2 linked regions of the Arabidopsis thaliana genome follow. The protein of the gene in region 2 interacts with the protein of the main gene of each other region in a pairwise test. Each region holds a gene or a part of one and is shown on either strand. Other genes may lie near its edges.

The links. Proteins that work in one complex are often made in the same cells at the same time.
Region 1: the proteins of AT1G11510 (region 2) and HMG interact in binary tests that used the Arabidopsis thaliana proteins (3 or more experiments, as listed by UniProt).

What each region holds. Positions count from the first base shown.
Region 1 is NC_003074.8:10,782,938-10,789,229, forward strand, and holds HMG (high mobility group), read left to right. Parts: upstream 1-1,950; 5' UTR 1,951-2,016; coding exon 2,017-2,070; intron 2,071-2,356; coding exon 2,357-2,542; intron 2,543-2,618; coding exon 2,619-2,724; intron 2,725-2,814; coding exon 2,815-2,951; intron 2,952-3,029; coding exon 3,030-3,113; intron 3,114-3,194; coding exon 3,195-3,289; intron 3,290-3,376; coding exon 3,377-3,485; intron 3,486-3,620; coding exon 3,621-3,707; intron 3,708-3,805; coding exon 3,806-3,898; intron 3,899-3,977; coding exon 3,978-4,175; intron 4,176-4,262; coding exon 4,263-4,408; intron 4,409-4,498; coding exon 4,499-4,646; intron 4,647-4,726; coding exon 4,727-4,834; intron 4,835-4,915; coding exon 4,916-5,098; intron 5,099-5,256; coding exon 5,257-5,335; intron 5,336-5,433; coding exon 5,434-5,561; 3' UTR 5,562-5,792; downstream 5,793-6,292. Other genes in the region: AT3G28720 (uncharacterized protein), read left to right, coding at 1-1,402; CYP81D11 (Cytochrome P450 superfamily protein), read right to left, coding at 5,827-6,292. UniProt on the Arabidopsis thaliana protein: Component of the FACT complex, a general chromatin factor that acts to reorganize nucleosomes. The FACT complex is involved in multiple processes that require DNA as a template such as mRNA elongation, DNA replication and DNA repair.
Region 2 is NC_003070.9:3,870,894-3,875,091, forward strand, and holds AT1G11510 (DNA-binding storekeeper protein-related transcriptional regulator), read right to left. Parts: upstream 2,037-4,198; 5' UTR 1,944-2,036; coding exon 885-1,943; 3' UTR 830-884; downstream 1-829. Other genes in the region: AT1G11500 (transmembrane protein, putative (DUF1218)), read left to right, coding at 1-38, 125-351, 449-677; AT1G11520 (pliceosome associated protein-like protein), read left to right, coding at 2,136-2,726; CXXS1 (C-terminal cysteine residue is changed to a serine 1), read left to right, coding at 3,625-3,702, 3,979-4,101.

The DNA of each region.
Region 1 (6,292 bases), on a different chromosome or scaffold from region 2:
TGGTGATTCATCAGCTGGGTTTACGAAATGTTTAGGTAGTATTTGGACTGGTAAAGATCGTTATCTATGGATTGATCTCTCTGCTGGTCCTGTAGATTATGGTCCTGCTTTATCTGGTGATGGTGTTTTACCAAGAGGTGAGTTTCATCCTTTAGCTGCTTTACATGGTCGTCCTAAATCAGAAAAAGCTTTACTTGCGGATTTGGCTTCGTTGGTGTATAATGCTTATCAGGTTTTGATTGTTCCTTCTTTGAGAATCCCTGTGTACTTTGAGGATACGTTGGTGGTTCAGTTTATTCATGTGTATGGGTCAGAGGTTAAGGATTCGAGTGGGTTAGATTTGGAGTTTGTGAAGAGAACGTTTATGGATGAAGCTGAGAGTGGTGGGTTGTTGTTAGGTGAACAGAAGTTGAGTTTTAAGAGTTATAGTGTGAATTATAGAGAATGTTCGATTTGTTCGTTTGCGGTATCTCGTGGGATGAATTCGTATACTTCTAGGTTTTTGTTTGATAACTATACTTTGATTGTGAGTGAGTATTTGGATTCTAAGCATATGCATCGGGCGTTGACTGATTCGGCTGAGGAGTTGAGGAGAGTTGCGGGGATTGTTGAAGAAGAAGGAAATGAGTTTGCTAGGGTTTTACCTGTTTATGTGTTTGATTTGGATATCAATACGCCTTTGTTGCTTGATCGGTATCATCAGTCTGTTGCTTTTAGAGATATGGTGATTGCTGTTAGAACTAGAGGAACTCAAACGGTTAGTGATTATACTTGCAACGGGCGTCATGTGTTTGTTCATACGAGAGACTTAGAACGACCTCTCGTTGGTTCCATTCTGCAGAGTATGTGGGGTGTATCTTCTACTCATTTGACATGGAGCCCGAGACATAACACAACTCTAGTTGATTATACATGGAGCATTGGGCAAACACCGTTTGGACCATTCTCTGATATCTCGTCTCTATCGTTTGTTCAGAAAGATGCTGCTAAGAGAAACGTGATTTTGACATCTTTGAACACAACTATCACAAGTGCAATCGATGTTATCGATTCCGCGGTTGCATATGGAGGAGATGTGATCCTACGGAAACAGAATCGCCACTCTGAGTTCATGCAAAGGTGGAATCTTATGCAGTACAAGCTGGATAAAACGGTTTCTGCTCTATCACACAATGAGTTCGAGATGGCTTTGTTCTACTTAAGATCAGCTTCACACGACTTGTACTCAGTGCATTCAGTAGTGTACCTCGCGTCACAACGGGTAGAAGCGAGTCTCAACTGTTTCAAAGATCCACCGTTCCCATGGGGAACTGTTTCAGTGTCGGGATTCGGGTTAATGGCTGTTGGTTACGTGTTCTCGAAAAGAGATAGACTCTTTAGGAACAAACGAAAACAGTTCTGAAGAATTCTAGCAATGCAGGGTAATTTATAGTCATTACATTGGATAAAAAGACTTTGATAGTTTGGTTTTTGAGGTTAATACAACATGTACTACTATTATGAGCTTGTTTCCATTTGGTAATGTTGAACAATAGAGACAATGCTCGGATCCTCTGTTTGGTTGTCTATTTATTTTGAATAGCTCCATCACATTCCTATTGTCTCCTTCAATAATCACTTCTCCATACCCTTAGACCGGTTTTCCCCTCCTAACCAAAGCCAAACAAAACCGAAGTAACCGGTTTGGTAAACCGAACCCGCATGCCTACATAATTGATATAAAATTCTGTTTTATAAGAGGTTTCTTTTCCAAATGTGAAAAAATCCAAAACTCAAAACAACCTTCTGTTTTTACCGTTTTTTGATAAAGGTCTTTTTCCCAAATCTGCAAAACCAAAAACTCAAAAATTCAATTAAACCGGAAAATCTAATTTTCGAAAATTGGTTTTCTTCCCAAAATTAAACCGCCTGAGTGTCTATGTATAAAAGTTGATATCATAGTTTGGAAAAAAAAAAATCACTCTCTCTCTTTCGCTCTCGCTTTCTCGTCTCTCTCGTGTCTCTCAACAGAAAACCATGGCGGACGGCCACTCCTTCAATAATATCTCTCTCAGCGGTCGCGGTGGAAAGGTACCATCTTCTCTCTCTGTCTCCTTCTATCTCTCAAGATCTTTCAATTCCTTCAAAGTTTTCACCTTTTCCTCTTCCTTCGAAAACCCTAATCTCCTTTCTCTGTATCCCCTTTTGCTTCCGCCGCTCGATTCTTAAAGAACTCAATGAGTCAAATTTAGGGTTAAAAAAAAGATTGTCGCTTTCATTTTTCAGTTGTGTTGTTTTCTTGTTTACAATTGTTAAAGCTGCGGTAGTTTTTAGGGTTTTCTTAAGGCTAATTAGGGTTTCAATTTTGGTTTTTTAGAACCCGGGTTTACTTAAAATCAATTCTGGAGGAATTCAATGGAAGAAACAAGGTGGTGGAAAAGCTGTGGAAGTTGATAGATCTGATATTGTAAGTGTTAGTTGGACGAAAGTGACAAAGAGTAATCAATTGGGAGTCAAAACCAAAGATGGATTGTACTACAAGTTCGTTGGATTTCGAGATCAGGTTTGTGTGTGTATATCTTTTTTATTTGATTTGATATTGTAATGTTTGTGCTTGTTCTGATTCCTTTGTTTTGTAGGATGTTCCAAGTCTGTCTAGCTTTTTCCAAAGTTCTTATGGAAAAACACCGGATGAGAAGCAATTATCAGTTAGTGGTCGTAATTGGGGAGAGGTGGATTTACACGGTGAGAGTTCTTATAGCTTTTAGGCTTTACTTGTGGTTGTCTAGTTTCATTTGTGGATCTAAAGGGAGAATTTTTTGTTTCTTTGTGTAGGGAATACACTAACCTTTTTGGTTGGATCAAAACAAGCTTTTGAAGTATCTTTAGCTGATGTTTCACAGACTCAGCTTCAAGGGAAAAATGATGTTACTTTGGAGTTTCATGTTGATGATACTGCTGGTGCTAATGAGGTACTGGTTTCTTTTGATATGTAATCTCTAGGCTGTTATGTATGTACATTTACTGATTTATATTCTACGTGTTTACAGAAAGACTCGCTGATGGAGATTAGTTTTCATATTCCTAATTCCAACACTCAGTTTGTTGGTGATGAAAACCGTCCACCTTCTCAAGTGAGTTCCCAAACTATTTTCATTATATGTATGTGCCTCAAGTATATATTTTTTTCTGTTGATGCTAAAAGAATGTCTCAGGTTTTCAATGACACAATCGTTGCAATGGCTGATGTTAGTCCTGGAGTTGAGGATGCGGTCGTCACATTTGAGAGTATTGCAATCCTCACACCCAGGTAAAGAGTTGATTACTTAAACATTTGTTGCACTATTGTATGGCTTCATCTTGTCATGACTAAATGATTTGGTTGTTTCTATCACAGGGGTCGGTACAATGTGGAACTTCACCTTTCTTTCTTACGATTGCAAGGACAAGCTAATGACTTTAAAATCCAGTACAGTAGCGTTGTCCGTTTGTTCTTGCTTCCAAAGGTAATTCTTTTTTAAGCATATCTCAGGGCAGTTACCTATGTTAGCAGTCATCAGATTAAAGGGATTATCGTATTATGATCACTGAATCGTGTTCACATTAATTGAGTTCGTATTTTTTTTTATATGCCTGAGCAGTCAAACCAACCACACACGTTTGTTGTTATCTCTCTAGACCCACCAATCCGGAAAGGTCAGACAATGTACCCCCACATTGTTATGCAGGTAAACATTACTTACATTTTTCCTTCCATTTCAATTTTCTATGTATAATTTTCGTTTTTTTACTCTGATTTACATAACTGTTTTTGCATCTTCTCCAGTTTGAAACAGACACCGTTGTCGAAAGTGAACTGTCAATTAGTGATGAACTTATGAATACAAAGTTCAAGGACAAGCTGGAGCGATCATATAAGGTTTCTGTCTGGTCTGCACTTACATTATTGTTCCTGAATAAAAAAATTTATACATACGCTGAATTGTATGAATTTTCAGGGTCTCATTCATGAAGTATTCACCACCGTGTTGCGTTGGCTGTCTGGTGCAAAGATCACTAAACCTGGGAAGTTCCGCAGTTCCCAAGATGGGTTTGCAGTGAAATCGTCTCTCAAGGCAGAAGATGGGGTTCTTTATCCACTCGAGAAGGGATTTTTCTTCTTACCTAAACCTCCAACGCTTATACTTCACGATGAGGTAAATTATGGTTATTAAGGATTGGAGATTTTTTATAGGCTTTGAGATAGAGTTGGGTTTTCTAACCTGTTTTTTTTTCGTTTTTAGATTGACTATGTCGAGTTTGAAAGGCATGCTGCTGGTGGTGCTAACATGCATTACTTTGATCTTCTCATAAGACTGAAAACTGACCATGAACATCTGTTCCGTAACATTCAAAGAAATGAGTATCACAATCTCTATACCTTCATAAGGTTAGCGCGGATTATTTCATTGTCTCCGTCTATATTTACTGAGTGCATTTAAGATTTGTGGTGAATATTCCTTATGTTTTCTTGCTGCAGCTCTAAGGGTTTGAAGATTATGAACCTTGGAGGTGCGGGTACCGCAGACGGTGTTGCTGCTGTTCTTGGGGATAATGATGATGATGATGCTGTTGACCCTCATCTTACGCGTATCAGAAACCAAGCTGCTGATGAGAGTGATGAGGAGGCAAGTACTTTATGTCTGACCGAATTACTTCATATTCTAATGATCATGTGTTTGATAATCGAGACTTTTAATTTATGAAGGACGAAGACTTTGTTATGGGTGAGGATGATGATGGTGGTTCACCAACTGATGATTCTGGCGGGGACGACTCTGATGCTAGTGAAGGCGGTGTAGGAGAGATAAAAGAGGTAAACTTTTGTCGCATTCATTCGAACTCTTTCAGCAGCAGTATTTGTTTCTCATATCTTCCTGTCATTGACTTGTTATAGAAATCTATCAAGAAGGAACCTAAGAAAGAGGCTTCGTCATCGAAAGGATTGCCTCCTAAGAGGAAAACTGTAGCCGCAGACGAAGGCAGTAGTAAGAGGAAGAAGCCGAAGAAGAAGAAGGATCCCAACGCACCAAAAAGAGCAATGTCTGGTTTCATGTTCTTTTCCCAAATGGAAAGAGATGTGAGTTCTTCTCTCCTTTCTTTTACTTTTACCTCTATGATGTAGGCTAAGTTGCGAAATGGAGTATCCTCGGTCTATTACATACATGAGAGCAAACAATTAACAGACAAACTTAGCACATTCCTGATTATGTCATTTTCCATTTGTGAACTGAACAGAACATAAAGAAGGAACACCCAGGAATAGCATTTGGAGAGGTGGGAAAGGTGCTTGGAGATAAGTGGCGTCAAATGTCTGGTAAAAAATTTGAAGATCCTTTTCAAAAGTAAATACATTACTTGGTTTTACTTTATCATGTGAATGTGTTTTAATTCCCCAACCGTGTGTATGTATAGCTGATGATAAAGAGCCATATGAAGCCAAGGCTCAAGTCGACAAGCAGCGATACAAGGATGAGATCAGTGATTACAAGAACCCTCAGCCGATGAATGTGGACTCAGGAAACGATTCCGATAGTAACTAAACTTTGATTCTCCAACATTCTCTACTAGTATCTCATTTACCTACAATACTAAGTTATGGCATGTAGTAAACGTTGGACCTTTAGTTGTTTGGAGTTAACCAGATTTTTCTCTTTGACCTTAAAGATCTTGTGTTACTTCCTAGAAAAGAAGAGCCTGTCTTTACCTCAAAATATAGAGTACTCTGGTAAGGCCATAGCTAAGAAGCAACAAAACAGATCGTGTTTCTATCGAAATTGTTATACAAGAGGTTCTGTATGATGAAAGTTATGGACAAGAAGCATCTAAAACCTTATGGACAATGGGACGAGCTTTACACATAGCTTGCAACGATGTAGCTTTTCGCATTGTGGTTCCTTTTTCACTTTCTCTCATGTCTAGATACTTTTCTTCAACCCTCTCCCACTCAAAACATTGGACCAATGATCCAAGAGCCAAAGTCACTAGCCGTTGAGCTAGCCCTGAACCAGGGCAAGATCGTCGTCCAATCCCAAATGGCATCAACTTTTTATCCTCTCCTTTTTTCTCAAACCTCTCCGGCTTAAATTTTTCTGGCTCTTCCCATAACTTTGGATCTCTATGGATGGCCCATGCATTCACCAAGATGATTGTGCCGCGTGGAACGTCATAGCCATCAACTATACAATCTTCTGATGCTAAGTGGGGTAAAAGCATTGGAGCCACCGGATAAAGCCGTAAAGTCTCTGACACAATGTGCTGAAGGTAAGGAAGT
Region 2 (4,198 bases):
CAGTCCTCGGGATCGAAGCCGAGATTGCTCAAAGCAAGGTTCTGTTTTATATTAAGAGTGAAATGTAGTTTATTTTATTTTAACTACCAATAATCTTTTCTTGTATTTGATGTTTATCCTTCAGGCACCTCATCATCATCATCAACAACATTCAAGACATTCAGGTTCTGGATGTCGAAGAAGCCCCAGCGATGGAGCATTTGCTGAGGGAGTAGCTGCAATGGTGCTTCTGTTTATTGTCCATGTCCTAGCTAATGTGCTTGGAGGCTGCACTTACATTCGCTCTAAGCAAGATTTCAAAAGAGCAACGGCGAACAAGATACTCGCTGTGGCTTTCCTTGTTCTCTCCTGGTAATGGAAAAGATAATAGGTTTTTGGATTTCATTCAAAAGACAAATTTGAATTATGTCAGCTGTTTTTGTTTTTGACATACCTTTGTTTGTCTTAGGATCTTTTTTGTTGTCAGCTACTCAACGCTAATGATAGGAACATTAGCCAACTCGAGAACGAATCGACTCTGCAGCTTGCCACATCGTTGGTTTTTTCTTATTGGAGGCATATTTTGTCTAGGACATGGAGTGGTGACTTCAGCATATTATGTTTCAGCAATTGCTGCTAAAAAAGAAGACAAAGAGAATGCGCAACAAGAAAATCTAGCAAATAGAAGCCGCGCATAACACGTCTTCTTCATCAAGATACACAAAATGTTTCATCTGTAAATAAACTTAAATTGCTTCAAAAAAGCTTCCTTCCATTTTGATAAATCCGCAATATTCCAAAATAAACTCTTTCAAGAATCAATAGAAAACTAAAATATAATATAAAAAAGCCAAGAGTTCTAAACAAAAGAGGCAGAACCAAAAAAACAAAAACCATAAATATATCTAAGCGTTTGATCCAAATGCTTCAGATATCTTTGATAGCACTTCAAAAAGAAAACCATGCTTCTGCAAAAAGAACTCAAATTCCCTAGCCTGCATCGCTTTCCACTGCTCGTAAAATCTCTTCATATCCTTTGAGGCAAGCTTACTCAATCCTTGTTGAGCAGTAAGTTCATCCATGCCAAGACCCACTATCGATCTAACAAGAGAAGACTTTGTAAAAGAGACTTCTCCTTCATCCATCACCTCATCTTCACAGTTGTTTTTACTGTTGGGCAAAGAAGAATCAAGTTCATGCTTCACAGACTCAAACTTACTACTCTTCTTCGACTTCTCATTAGATTTCATACCAGATGCAAGAGCCATTCTAATACCTCCCCAAACTAACTTAGACAATTCAAAAGCCTTGCGATCATGAGGTTTGACGAAAGTAGGTTCAACACCATCCTTGGCTTTACCAAGATTGTTCTCATACTTCTTCTTTAAAGCCCTAAGCTTTTCCATAAGCTGATTCTTACTAACATCAAAACTAATAGATTTTTTCACCAACTCATAAACCTTATTCGTATTACTTACCCCTGTATCTTTTTTGTCATCAATCAGACCTTGTAAAACCACAATCTCATCATCTTCAGTCCAAAGTCGCTGGAAATAAGTTTTCTTCGTCTCTTCTCCTCCGCCACCACTCTTCTTCTTCTCCTCTTCCCCTGAAACCTTCTTAGCCCTCTTCACATCCATAGACACTGCTGCTTCATCCACTTCAAGAGAACGTTTAGCCCCAGATTTCTCGGAGGTTTTCACCTTCTTAGCCCTCTTCACATCCACAGGATTCGTCACAACTTGATCTTTCTTCTTCTCGAGTTCAGAGTCTGAATCGGTTTCTTCATCCGAACCAGATTCGGAATCGGAAACGGCGTCGAGAGTCGTCTTCAAAGGTGATGGGTTTTCAGAGGAAACGTCATCTTCATCATCCGAAGAAGAGTTTCGTGCGATTTCTTTACCTTCTTCGTCGCTTGAAGAAGCACTCGGCGGATCTTCTAACGGATTGAAACGTCTCGACATTGTTTTAGGGTTTATGGGACTTTGGAGAGACTTAAGAGGTTGAAATTGAGATTTTTGCTTTGCTGCCTTCACCACTTCGTTCTTAGGGTTTATATATATTGAACAAAGTGTCTCTCTGTTTTCCAAAAATAAATAATCAAAAAATTATTGGAAAACGTATAAAATTATTTATTGTTTTTCCTCTTTTTTTGCATGACGTTTAGATTTCCGATTTCCTTCCTTAAAAATTTGGAAATTAGCTATATTGACCAATTTTATTTCCCTATATTTTATCTCTTACAAATAAATGTTAGATCTCTCTTTTCACAACAACACCCGAATATGACCGCTCATTCAATCGTCGCACACGTTGATAGCGTCCTTCCCAAGAAATCTCGTGAGATCGACCGTCGCCGCCGCAGACGGAAGCGGAAGAAGAAGAACAAAGCATCTCAGGCCGATGTAGATGCAATGGACGTGTCAAAATCTCTGTCAAGCACTCCTACTGGTATTGAGACACCGGATGCAATTGAACTTCGTAAGGAACAGAGAAAGGAACCTGATAGGGCTCTATACCAGGTACTTGAAGAAAAGGGAGAGAGTGTTGTTGCTCCTGGAACATTGCTGAGAACTACACACACATACGTTATTAAGACTGGTACTCAGGACAAGACGGGAACCAAAAGGGTTGATTTGCTGAGAGGGCAAAAGACAGATAGAGTGGATTTCAGTTTACAGCCAGAAGAGCTGGATGCTATGGGAAATGTTTTACAGTATGAGGAGGCAAGAGAAGAGGAGAAATAGCGCAATAAGCCAGTGGACTTGAGTGACATGGTCGTCGAGCATGTGTAGCAGAATAGTAGGAAGAGGAAAATGCATGGCAAGGAAGAGAAGAAAAAGAAAGATTTCAACTTCTGAGGTGCGTTATGGAAGAGACAAAAAAAAAAAGATTTTAGATTCTGGACATGAGACATAGAAAGAGATTCATGTTCCAGAATTATTAGTCTTGAGTAAGAGATCTTGAGTTTTTAGTCTTAATGCTTATTAAAAAAAAAAAAAAATGTTAGACCACCAATGATGTAAATTTTTAAATAGGTGATTGCATCATTGTGTAAACCTAATATTTACATTTTGAAGGATTTGGTCTTTCTGCAGTATGTAAGTTAATTCAATCCCCTTATTATTCTGACTTGTAAGGGGATTCAAACCCCATCAATGGTTTCTAAACTTAAGTTTCTTATTTTAGAGAGATAAGTTTTATTATAAAAAAATGTGTGGGTTTTTTGATTAATGAAGAAACCATCTCCAAAATACTTTATATAAGAAATTTTGGAGAGAATTTCTAAATATTTAAGAAACCCACATAATTAAATAATATTATTTTTGTTGTTTTAATGTTAAGAAACTTATATTTAGAAACCACCAATGAAATTCCTCTAAACATTAACATTGCATATAGTCATAAAAAAAATATCTATTTTCTTTTTGGTTCTCTTTTTAATATAGCTTTCTTGGTCAACACTTATTCTTAAATATCTTAGAAATTAATAAATTATTTCGTAACTCGTTGAAAGATAACTGGCCACACTTTTTGTGTATGACTCAGACATAGTTTTTGTCCACTCGGTCCCATCATGCAAGTAGATAAACACTGAATCACCAAATCTTGTTTGAGATTTAGAAAAAAAGGAAGCTCCAAGAGATGGCAAGAGTTGTTAAAATCGATTCTGCAGAGTCATGGAATTTCTATGTGAGTCAAGCCAAGAATCAGAATTGTCCCGTAAGTCTCTCTTCCTCTTATCACTTTCGTTTTCTAGTAGCCAAAATGAAATCTGATTTAGATCCAAGACCTATGAAAGAATCAAGATCTTAGGATTAGAGTTTTATGGAGAATTTGATTTACAATTGGTTAAATCCAAATTGTGTTACTCTTTAAGATATGAAGTTAGTGAGAATGAACCATGAATATTAATGTTCAGGATTGTGAATGAATGGCTCTGTCTTGTTTGTTTATATGAATTACCAAGAACGGTTGTTCCTTTATGGTTTTTTGCAGATTGTGGCTCATTTCACTGCATTATGGTGTATTCCTTCTGTGTTTATGAACTCCTTCTTCGAAGAGCTTGCGTTTAACTATAAGGATGCTCTGTTTCTAATAGTTGATGTTGATGAAGTTAAGGTAAAACTACTTATGTGTCTCTCTACTTGATATGTCTTTCTACTTTGGCTTCTTTGTTGAAGAGAAGTGTTTAACCATCAAGAGTAAAAGATTTAAA